Caenorhabditis elegans: one gene and its partner. The protein of the gene in region 1 purifies or fractionates together with the protein of each later gene. This does not show direct contact. Each region holds a gene or a part of one and is shown in the gene's direction. Other genes may lie near its edges. The genes, in order: nfx-1 and R07B7.6.

Region 1 (6,547 bases):
AAAGATTCTCAAAGATCAGAAGCAAAAAAGCAAGCCGTCCGATGAGAAGCTTGAAGTGGCAGGACCCGCGGTAAGATATTAACGTTTTCTCAAGCTATTTTCAAAATTTTCCTTTCGAAAATGTGATTTATTTCAGCTTCCCGACCCAGTTCCCAAGAAAGATGACAAGAAAGGCTCTCGAAAAGCGATTGAGTTTGATCTAGAGGAGCCTTCAAAATCAACATCGTCCTCTCGAAAAGATCGCAAAGATGATCGAAAAGAAAAAAAAGAAGAACTTCCAAAGGCATCAAGAATAGCAGAGCCTGCACGTGATGCTGGAAAGAGTGGAAGAGATCGTGGGCATCGAACATTTAGATGAGCTCTCACCACATATCCCCAGATTTTCATTATTGTATCTCAGTTTATGTTGTCTACGAGGTTTTCTATTGTATCCTGATGGATTATTAAATATTCGTTTTATTTTTTGTTAGCATTAAATCTAAAGACATTGGATCGTTGAACTTCTTGGAATGTGAAAGCAATGGAAGTATTTCGAATATAGAATGCTTGCTCGAAGAGTCAATCCAAAAGTCGAAGATCAAGTGCTAAATGTGAGCAAAAGACAACGTCAAATTTCCGAACGACTTCCAATCTATGGGAACAGCCCTTTACTTGAATTTACTGGTAAAACAAAAAAGAATTATTTGAAACAACAACGATTTATTGTCAGAACAATGCTTATGAAACAAGAGAAGCAGCGGTTCCAGACTCGTACTTCCAGGTTGGTGGAAGCTGACGCTTGGTCTTGTAGTATCTAGCCAAACGGTGGATACGGGACTCGACGAGGATAAGTCTGTACTTGCTGTCAATGTCCTTGCGGGATCTCTCAAGATGCTTGCGAATGGCGACGGCCTTCTTGACGAGATGGTACAAATCCTCTGGGAGCTCTGGAGCCATTCCCTGAAAAAACAATAATTAAACTAGAAAAAGACGTTGATTGAATTTTACTAGTTTCTACGAAAACTGTCATCGTGTTATTGAGATCTAATCTAAATACAGTTACACCTCACCCAAAAACAGGATATTTCATATTGCTCATTTTGACGGCTGGCATGGACAAGTCTGAGTCCGATAACCAGTGCTTTTGAAGAGCGTATACTGATATAAAAATTGCATTATTACCTTGGACTTGAGGATGCGGAAGATCTTGTTTCCGGCAAGACGGCGGACTTGTCCAACTCCGTGGGAATCCCTGAGGATAACTCCGATTTGGGATGGACGAAGACCCTAAAATACAAAATCTCTGCCTGTCGTAAATTTCAAAAGGAAATGGACACCGAAAACTCGGTTTTCACATTTCCTGGGCCCATTTTCAAACTTGGAAAAATGGTAGCCCAGTTGATGATCATATGGTAGTTATCGGAATCGCACCAAGTAACTCCTCAGATCAATTGCAAACCTTCTTGGCCATCTTGACGATTTGGTCTTGGACCTCCTCGGCGGTCATCTTTTGCCATGATGGAACGGAGCGGCGGTATGGGATGGCCGACTTGGCCATTCCCTTTCCTGGATTGTGCATGCGACCCATGGTTGATGCGGATTACCTGAAAGAAGATGATAAAATGTCGAGTTTATTGTAAAAATGTAAAGATTAAAGAAATTAACAAAATTAATGAAAGAACAAAGGTAAGAAAAGTGCCCTATGATTGGCTAAAATGAATTGCAATGGAAATGTAGCAAGCGAAGAAAAATGTCCTAAAAGTTGTATACGGTAACACTCGTTTTGCGTGTGTAACGCGCGTGGTGAGACAACGCGGGCAAAATCAATGTCCCTTCAAATGTGTAGTTTGTGGTCGGTCATGTCATCTGAACTATTGCACAACATTGCATCGCTTTTCTCAATGTTTCGCGTTTTCAAATAAAAAAATTTCACAAATATATAAAAGAAAAGTATTTTTCCAATAATTTATCTGTTTCAATTACAGACTAAAGTAATTATGGCCGATACTGAAGGAACATCATCTAGTATTCCAACATCCACAAATTCTTCCCGTCACCGAGCAAGTCGAGGAAGAGGAGGTCGTTTCCGTCAAGCTCCTCGACAAGTAGGAGCCAATACCGCAGATAACCTAGATGCGGCGCCTTTGATGAACCCGAGAGGAGGACATCGTGGTGGTAGTGGAAACAAACGTGGCAGAGGACAAAAAGAAGGTAATTAAAGGCAAAAATAACTTTAAAGAGCTTTAAACTAATTGTTTAAATTTCAGCTACCTCTGCAAGCCGTTTACAAATGCAGCCAGAAGCTAATTTCACCTTCAACCCCAATGCTGCGACATTCAACCCAGCACAGTCGGTTCTCTTCGATCCATCTGTGCCTCCACCGACGATTGGTGCCTCGACACATTCGAATCAAAATTCCAGACAACAGGAGCCATCGCAAAATAGAAGAAGACGTGGTGGTCAGCAGAACACACAGCGTCGTCAGCTCGAAATACAAGAACAAAGAGGCGATTCTCATCCACAAAATCAATCAAGACAGAACAATAGAAATCAACTGAATGTGGATAGGATTGCAAATCAACAAAACAAGTCAGTGCAAAACCCATCTCGAAATCCTGGGAACAGCCGAAGAGGCCAAGGAGCTCGTCGACGGGAACAAAAAGAAGAACCGCTGACAGAAGAAGAAACTAAAATTTTAGCGGATAAGCCACTCAGAGAGGGTCTGGTATATCTTCTGGAAAATAATAAGTATGAATGTGCGATTTGTTACACTCGAATCACAACCAGACAAGGAGTTTGGTCCTGTAAAACCTGTTATCATATTTTCCACATTTCAACTGGATGTATTACTGATTGGGCGAGATCAAGCAGAGATAAAGAAGGTGCAAACACTTGGAGGTGTCCAACCTGCCAGACAGAAAACGAAACCATGCCTTACAATTATTATTGTTTCTGTGGGCGTATGAGAAATCCTAATTTCCGAGTTGGAGAAGTTCCACATAGTTGCGGAGAGACATGCGGTGGTGCAAGAAAGTTCGGATGTCCTCATCCGTGTACTGAACTGTGTCATCCTGGTCCATGCATTGAATGCAAGCTTTTTACAACAAAATCATGCAATTGTGGAAAGACGAAAAAAAGTGTGAGATGCGGATCTGACCAAGAAGTCATGGTGAGATTTTGAAATCTAGTTGTATCTTTAGTTTTATTCAATGTTTTCAGTGTGAAACAGTCTGCGGAAAGCAACTCTCATGTGGCCAACACAATTGCGAAAGAATTTGTCATTCCGGTGATTGTGGAGAGTGTACTGTAATTCTAGAACAAGATTGTTTTTGTGGCAAAACGCCAAAAGAAGTTTCCTGCAATCCGTGTGCACACGAGAAATATTCATGTGGCTCAGAGTGTGATGGAATGTTTTCGTGCGGAATTCATCATTGTACGAAGAAATGTCACGACAAGGAGTGTGGAGAATGTGAAACAGGAGCCAATAGAATTCGAACGTGTCCATGTGGAAGGAACACACTTCAATCACTTGGAGTCACTAGGAAAAAATGTACAGACATGGTTCCAACTTGTGATTCAGTTTGTGACAAATGGCTAACTTGTGGAACTCCTGGAAAGAATCATCATTGTCGAGAAAAGTGCCACGAAGGTCCTTGCCCTCCATGCAATCTCAATACATCCGTAATTTGTCGCTGTGGAACGTCTAAAGGCGTCATTCCATGTGACGAATATTTGCAAATAATGAAAACCAGTGAGTTTCAAATGTCTTCATTTGATCTATGACCAATATATTTTCAGCTGGTGAATATCTCTGCACAAAAAGATGTCGAAAAAAGAAGTCATGTGGAATGCACAAATGCCAAGAAGTTTGCTGTATTCAAGATGAACATTTTTGTCTGCAAATGTGCAACAAACGACTTTCTTGCGGAATTCACACATGTGAGAATGTATGTCACGCTGGACAATGCCGTCCGTGTCTGCAAGCCAGTTTTGATGAGCAATTTTGTCATTGTGGTCACACAGTTCGAATGCCTCCGATTCCATGTGGAGCTCGTCTACCAGTGTGCTCCCAACCATGTGTCCGTCCACACAGTTGTGATCATTCTGTCTCTCATAAGTGCCATGGTGAACAAAACTGTCCTCCATGCACACAGCTCACCGAAAAAATGTGTTATGGTGGACATAGAGTTCGCAAAAATATACCGTGTCATATCGACTCAGTTTCATGTGGCGTGGTTTGCAAAAAACCCCTCAAATGTGGAGTTCATGTGTGCCAAAGAACATGTCACGGTGAAGAATGTGAGAAAGAAGGGGAGAAATGCACGAAAAAATGTGAAACCATCCGAGAGCTTTGCGAACATCCTTGCGCACTTCCATGTCACGAAGATTCTCCGTGTGAGCCAAGCCCATGCAAAGCAAGTGTGAGAATTTCTTGTGAATGTGGACGAATTAAAAAGGACGCACCATGCTGTGAAGTTGATAAAATGATTCTATCAAAACTCGAAAAGGAAGAAGAAGAAAAATCTGAATCGGATGGTGAAGAGAAAGTGGTCAAAGAAGGAATTCTCAAGCGCTCAACAAGTTTTTCTCAACTTAACTGCATGAAATGTGATGACGAATGCAAGAAATTGGAAAGAAATCGAAAAGTTGCTGAAGCTCTTGAAGTTGATACAGATGAATATGGAATGAACAAACTCGCTCCAACTATTTCCTTCCCTTGTTATCTGAAAGAGATGGTTAGAACCAACATTGATTTCGTCAAATCTGTTGAAAAGATTCTCATTGATCTGGTTATTCAAATTCTAAGTGTAAGCTACCATTTGTTTAAAATTGTGGGCATACATATAGTTTTTTACAGGGTGAAGCCTACCACGACACTTTTCGAGCTCACCTGCCAGCAATGAGTATTGAGAAGAGAAGATTCGTGCATGAATACGCCAACTTTTTCAATATCGCCTCAGAAAGTGTAGACAGTCCACCAAAAAGAAGTATCGTTCTCACAGCAGTACGAGGAAAATCTCATCAGCCTCTCGTTCTCATTAGTGATCTTGTAAACTACAAAGGAGCTCTAAAGACGCCAGGACCTGCTGTTATTAGAAAAGATATAATGGATCAAGCTTTGAGTAAAAAAGAAGAAACAGAAGGTCTCATGAAACCATTAAGATGTACGGAAAAAATGGTAGTTCGGAGAGAAGCTCGTCCAATGAAGGTAAATATATAATTTTTGTCTGGCATTGTTCAGATTTCAATATTTTTATTTTCCAGGAAATAACTGCCCCAATCCCATTGAAACAACAAAACCAATTTGCTCTTTTGGGGAGCGATGTCGATTCGGACGATGAAGAAAGTAACGTTCCGACAACAAGTAATTTAGTATCTTCACCTCCAAAAGATTGGTGGAAAGACGAGGAAGAAGGGTGGCAAAAAGTGCAACAAAAAGAGTATGTTGTTGAAGTCGAACGCGATATGACCGAAGATGAGATTGAGGCGGCGAAAAAACTGGATGAAGGTCCCACATGGGAAGATCAATGTGACGAAGATGCACCAGCAACAGAAACCAGTTCAGCTATTGAATCTCCAGCGAAAGAGGAGCCGGTTGCTGAATTACTAGAATAAAACGTATTAGATTTTTTACATGCACTATCACATCAATTTTCGATGTTACTATTCATATCCTCAATTGTACGGTGTAACAGTTTGTTTCAAGTACATTTCCATTGTTTTGAATACTTTAAAATACGGTTTGCTTGTTTTAACTAATGAATAAATATTCTCTGGTGTTTATATTATTTTAATTGCGTTCCTGTGGCCCAGTTATTTCCTGTGAAAATATTTGTTTGAGACTTTAAATTTTAATTGAAAGATGAAAATAGAGAGAAGGCGCCTTAAGGCACGCGGGACTGACAAAGTGTGCAAACACCGCCACGCGAAGACGCACACTTTCGGTTCTTTCACAATTTTTTTGCCCGTTCTTCTCAATCAATTCTTGCTTCTTTTTCCTTTTATCGAAGTAATTCTCGTGTGAAAAACAACTCAAAAAATTCGAATTTTTCAGAAACTGGGTAAAAATGCAGTGCGACGATGTGACTTGGAACATTCTCAACAAGGGACAATGCGCCTACAAAGCGTGGACAAAGCCAAAAATGTTCTGTAAAAATGAAATGAATTTGACTGGTTTGTGCAACAGAGCTTCGTGTCCATTGGCTAACTCACAGTATGCAACAGTTCGTGAGGAGAACGGAGTATGTTACTTGTACGCAAAAGTTGTCGAACGATCTCACTATCCACGTCGTTTATGGGAAAAGACAAAGTTGTCAAAGGATATGAACAAAGCATTGGAACAAATCAGTGATCAACTTCTTCATTGGAGTGAATATGTTAGACACAAGTGCAAAGCTCGTCTCATCCGAATTCATCAATATTTGATCAGAATGCGTAAAATGGCAGTCCGTGGAAAGTAAGTTTAAACTTATAGAAACTGAATTTTGCATAGTATTATTTATTTTCAGCCAGAAGAAACTCATTCCAATTGGACGGAAAGTGGAAAGACGTGAGAAACGTCGTGAAG
Region 2 (4,757 bases), on another chromosome or scaffold:
TCTGAATTAATTAAAAACTATAAAGTGTTCTAAAACTATATGGAACTTCATAATTTATCGCATTGGTTTTTTTATAAAATAAAATTTGATATGCTATTACTTTAACGTAAACGCTTCAAATAAAGCTTACTCCCTCTCAGCATTGCATACTGTAACATTCGAGTAAAAGTCAAGTGAATTTTTTTGATATTTGTATTATCTATAGTTATCAATGAAAAACGATTGAAAATCTAGTCAATCTATGGAGAACATTGTAAACTCGGCAAACATTTCGTGTATTGTGAAGAAATGTTTCGGAGGTTTTTCGTTTCTTTTGTATATATTCTTATATTCATTTTATTTTCATAAAATTTTCTACACTTGAAAAATGTGACATATCTCTATGGTTTCTCTTCGTGGAGTCTGCCGAGTCGATTTTTTTTTTGTTTTTCGTTGAATTTCCATAGCTCGCGTTTTCCCCGGCAAGTCTTCGTTTGTTCATCATAGAACTACATCACTTTTCCATGAGTCGTCTTGATCTAGTTCGTTTTGGTTATTTGAGAGCATAGAAACAACTGAAAACTAGTTAATTGTGTAGTTGCTCTCTCTCATACTCTTTTCATATCTCTCCCGTCGCCTAGCTACTAACTCTTTTGCTCATATGCTTCTATCATTGAGAACAACGGAAATGAAAAGGGTCTTTGTTGTGAAAAGGTAAGGTTGAGTGCATTGATAACGCCTAGTGTACACTTTTAGAAATATTTTCTATTTCTGCTGCGATGTAATGTTTGATATGCAATCAAATTTCTGAATTTAAATACTTCAGTATTGATGGAACTAGAGAGAATGTTTTCCGATATTTTTTTGCATTTCGAGAGGTGCACATAATTTGTTAGTTCATTATTAGAAACTTCTCGTGATTTTATTTATGTTGAAATGAATTCACGACACACCTTTTCATTCGCTTATCACTAAAAAATCAAAAGTTTCTTCCTCGTCACTATTGAAAATGCACTCTCCTTTTATTCTTTGCACGAATGTTTCCCGAAGTGTCTTCTTATGACTTTTCCCAAATTTTATGAAGAATTAAATTCCGATAACTAACATTTTGTTCTGACTCCGTTTCTCTTTTGTGTAGAATCTTGTTTTTAGCAGTTTTATTAGATTTAACTCATTCAGAATCAAGCATTACTTTTTAAAAAATCTTTTTTCAAAAGCTTACCTAAAGAGGTTTTAAACAGTAAGAGAAAATACAATAATTGTTGCTTTCCTAACCTTCAAAGCACTCAAATATGCATGAATAACTGACATATCCACTCTTTATTTCGTAACTTTAGAAATGACTATAGTCATCACAGAAATAAGGAAAATAAACATTTTACCGGTAGCGGGATAATTTAATATTTATTTAATTTTTTACATTAGTATCTGGTTTTTTATCACAAAATAATTTGTAAATTTGTTACATATTAAATTTAATCTTGAAAAAACACTTGAAATCGAGAAAATTCCATTTTGGCAAATCGCCATAACTACAAATCCAAATTAATTTAAACTAGAAATATTTACTTCAATTTCAAAAGATGTACCACTCACACGTCAATGATATCAATTTCCGGGAACTTGGATGTTTCAGTTGGTTTTTTCTCTTTTATTAACATTTGATGGATTTCAGTTTTGCTTTTACATCTATGTACATGTTTCTGTTTCGTTTTGTGTTTCTAAGCTTTTCGCGGCTGAGTTCGTTTTTTTATTACCGTCTTGCAGGACGGTGACCGTTAGATATTGAAGAGAGAAGCTGAGTACAATAGTATTTCGGAACAAAAGTTTGTTGCAAATAATAATAGTTTAATATGAGTTTCAACTATTCCAAGCGGTTGTGAAACATAATAAGTTTAAGCTGTTGACGTATTTTTGTTGCGAGGGACTAATTATTTGTTTCCAATCTAACTGTCAACGTCAAGGGGATGAAAAAAACAATTTTTTAAAATTAATATCCTAAAAATGTTTGGAAAGGGGAAAAACAAGAGCTTGAAGACTTAAAAATATATTCTATCATTTTTTCCCCGAGTTTTTATTCACAATCATGTCTCTTGATAACACTCCAGTTTTACTGTCATATCCTTCTCAAACAATTTTGAAACTTTCAGAAATGTCAGCCACAAGATACAAGAGATTAACTGACATTGATCTAGATGCGGATATTAATACCGTAAGCTAAACAGTTTTTATTTCAACTTTGGAGTGAAAAGTTTAATTATAGATTCCTGAATCTCGTTCTATTCAATCAACATTAATTGGTTTTATTCTGTTGTTTGGATTCGTAGCATGTATGATATTTCTCACAAGTGTTCAAGCTCATCCGGTATAAATTTTTAAACAAGGAATTCATGTTTTAAACCATATTAAATTAAGGCAAGAGTATCACTACAAGATAATGGAAAAAACAGTCCAATTCTAAGAACTCGGTCTCAAGAAAAACCGAGAAAGAGGAATATTACCAAATGGATGGACAATTATTTTACGGCGTGAGTGTTTATGTTTTTGAAATTTTAGAGAAGTCATGAATCATTACTTTCGAGACATTTTCAATTTCCAAATATTTTTCAGCGATGAAAGTCAATTTCTAAATTGCTCAGAAATGATAAAAAACAACAAAGACGTAATTGAGCTGTATGTGAATAATGGACGAATGAAACTTGACAACGAACGATTATTTGAATTACCAATGGATTGTCCTTCAATAAAAAATCGAATATATGGAGACATGCCATCATTTCGACCTCTCAAACGACCCATCGCTTTTGTACGAACTATTTATAAGATTTACGAACTTCAAGAGGCTTTACTATCTATATCATACCATCCAGACAATGTCTTCTGTTTTGTAATGGATTCAAAGAGTACTGATCGATTAAAAGAATCTGTTAGAATAATGAGTAGTTGTTTTACAAACGTTGTAGTACTTGGAAAAGAGTATAGTTTGAACAGTGGAGGTCATGGGCAAGATCCAGCACATTTTGATTGTCTCAAAACTATATTAGACAGAAAATGGGATCATGCTATTATTCTTCAGGTAAATTAATAATTAATATTTTTACTAAAACATCTTCCATTTTTAGAATTTCGACTTGATAATCAAAACGCCTTATCAACTATCAGATATTAGTGAATCCCTCAATTACACAAGTATCATGGGTTTTGATCATGGATTCTCCTACAGATACAATACAAAAGCAAAGTGGACTCCGGCTGGGATGAAGCTTTTTAAAATTGGTAAAGTGTTTCAATATTTCAAAACTGACATTTATATAATGTTTAAAAATATTCAAAACTTTAACAAAGCTCAATATTAAAATAAATTAAAGAGAAGATTTTCGTGAAAGAAGATGTTTTTCTGGAGAAACAATTTCAGTTTAAAAAAACACAAAGTTAGATTGTTTCAGAAACTGGAGTGCCAAATGAAATTCTTAATAGAAACCTAATTGTTCGGAAAAGCTTAAACGAAGTCATTGTCTCAAAAGTCTTTGTGAAATCAATGTTCGAAAAATTGAATATGGATATAATCATCAAACTATTTGATGATAACGATTACTATGGAGTTGACGAGATGCTTGTTCAAACACTTTATGAAAACTATCTTGGTTTGGAAGGACAAATGGAATCAAATTGTACTAGAAATCACAATGATATTCTGACAAGGTAACCGGTTTTTTTTTCTTTTGTGGAGTAACAGTTTCATTTCAGAATGACGCATTGGGATTTTAGTGGTCCTAATGGATTTGACAAGGAATGTCATTCGAAATGGAAACGGCATGGAATTTGCATTATGGGTGTTGAATACATGAATGAACTAATTAAAAGTCAACAAGTCATAGGTATATCTGAACATTTATGAAAAAATGTGCAAGTTTATCTTTTCCAGCAAACAAAGTTATGGCAACTTTCGATTTCGGAACTATTGCTTGCATGCGTGAGATGATAAAAAGAAATACTGCAGGGGAAACGCCAAATACCCAATGGTTAACTTCTTTTCCGCAGGTAAATCTTTGCTGGAAAAATGGAACAGGAAATAGGTGTTTCTTTCAGTTTCGAGAAATGCAACAAAAGGCAAACGGGACATACGACAGGAATAAGTTTGATTGTTAAAGTTGGATGATTTATGCGGGTTTCCAATGTTACGGGAAATTACTTCGTGTAATTTTTATTTAATTGTGTTCTAATTTATGTCATTTACAAGTATTATTTCTTTACATAAAATTGTTTGAAAGTCAATTTTTGTTTTGGAAGCTTGTTGATAAAAATATGGCTATATATCATACATATTTCCTTTGCTCTATAGTAGGCTGTCAAAAAAGTATTTTTCCTTTTTTGTTTTGTCATTGTGGGCTGCTCTGAAAGCAACTAAATTGGATTTAAATGTACTAAAAGCCAGTGTTGAATCGGATCCATTTAAAACTACCTGTGAGCTTGCAAGCACGTTTGGGATGCATCATAGCTCCATAGCAAATGGCTTTAAACTTCTTGGTATGAGGAAACTCCTTGGTCTTTTCGTACTTCATGATCTGACCCGTGTCACCCTTCACCGCTGGACCGGCACTGGAGATGAAACGTGGGTGCTCCACGATAATCACCACAGGCATGCCCAGTGGGTTGGAAAATGAGAAATTGCAAGTTATAATTCCCTAAATAATAATTAAAAGATGGCCGACTAGAAAATAGGATATCTATATAGATTTGCCGAGTAGGAACGTATGATTTCTGGTGAAGAGAAAATG

What was found.
Region 2: the proteins of nfx-1 (region 1) and R07B7.6 fractionate together in Caenorhabditis elegans (co-fractionation; one large-scale study listed by BioGRID). This does not show direct contact.

The regions. Positions count from the first base shown.
Region 1 is NC_003281.10:6,373,415-6,379,961, forward strand, and holds nfx-1 (Transcriptional repressor NF-X1 homolog), read left to right. Parts: upstream 1-1,964; 5' UTR 1,965-1,976; coding exon 1,977-2,190; intron 2,191-2,246; coding exon 2,247-3,148; intron 3,149-3,198; coding exon 3,199-3,730; intron 3,731-3,777; coding exon 3,778-4,787; intron 4,788-4,837; coding exon 4,838-5,188; intron 5,189-5,244; coding exon 5,245-5,595; 3' UTR 5,596-5,753; downstream 5,754-6,547. Other genes in the region: thoc-2 (THO complex subunit 2), read left to right, coding at 1-70, 137-358; rps-13 (Small ribosomal subunit protein uS15), read right to left, coding at 718-939, 1,162-1,266, 1,439-1,567; C16A3.6 (Protein MAK16 homolog), read left to right, coding at 6,048-6,436, 6,489-6,547. UniProt on the Caenorhabditis elegans protein: May play a role in transcription regulation.
Region 2 is NC_003283.11:12,072,359-12,077,115, reverse strand, and holds R07B7.6 (Nucleotid_trans domain-containing protein), read left to right. Parts: upstream 1-2,129; 5' UTR 2,130-2,131; coding exon 2,132-2,191; intron 2,192-2,242; coding exon 2,243-2,344; intron 2,345-2,394; coding exon 2,395-2,507; intron 2,508-2,589; coding exon 2,590-3,055; intron 3,056-3,101; coding exon 3,102-3,255; intron 3,256-3,425; coding exon 3,426-3,681; intron 3,682-3,726; coding exon 3,727-3,857; intron 3,858-3,904; coding exon 3,905-4,020; intron 4,021-4,068; coding exon 4,069-4,128; 3' UTR 4,129-4,254; downstream 4,255-4,757.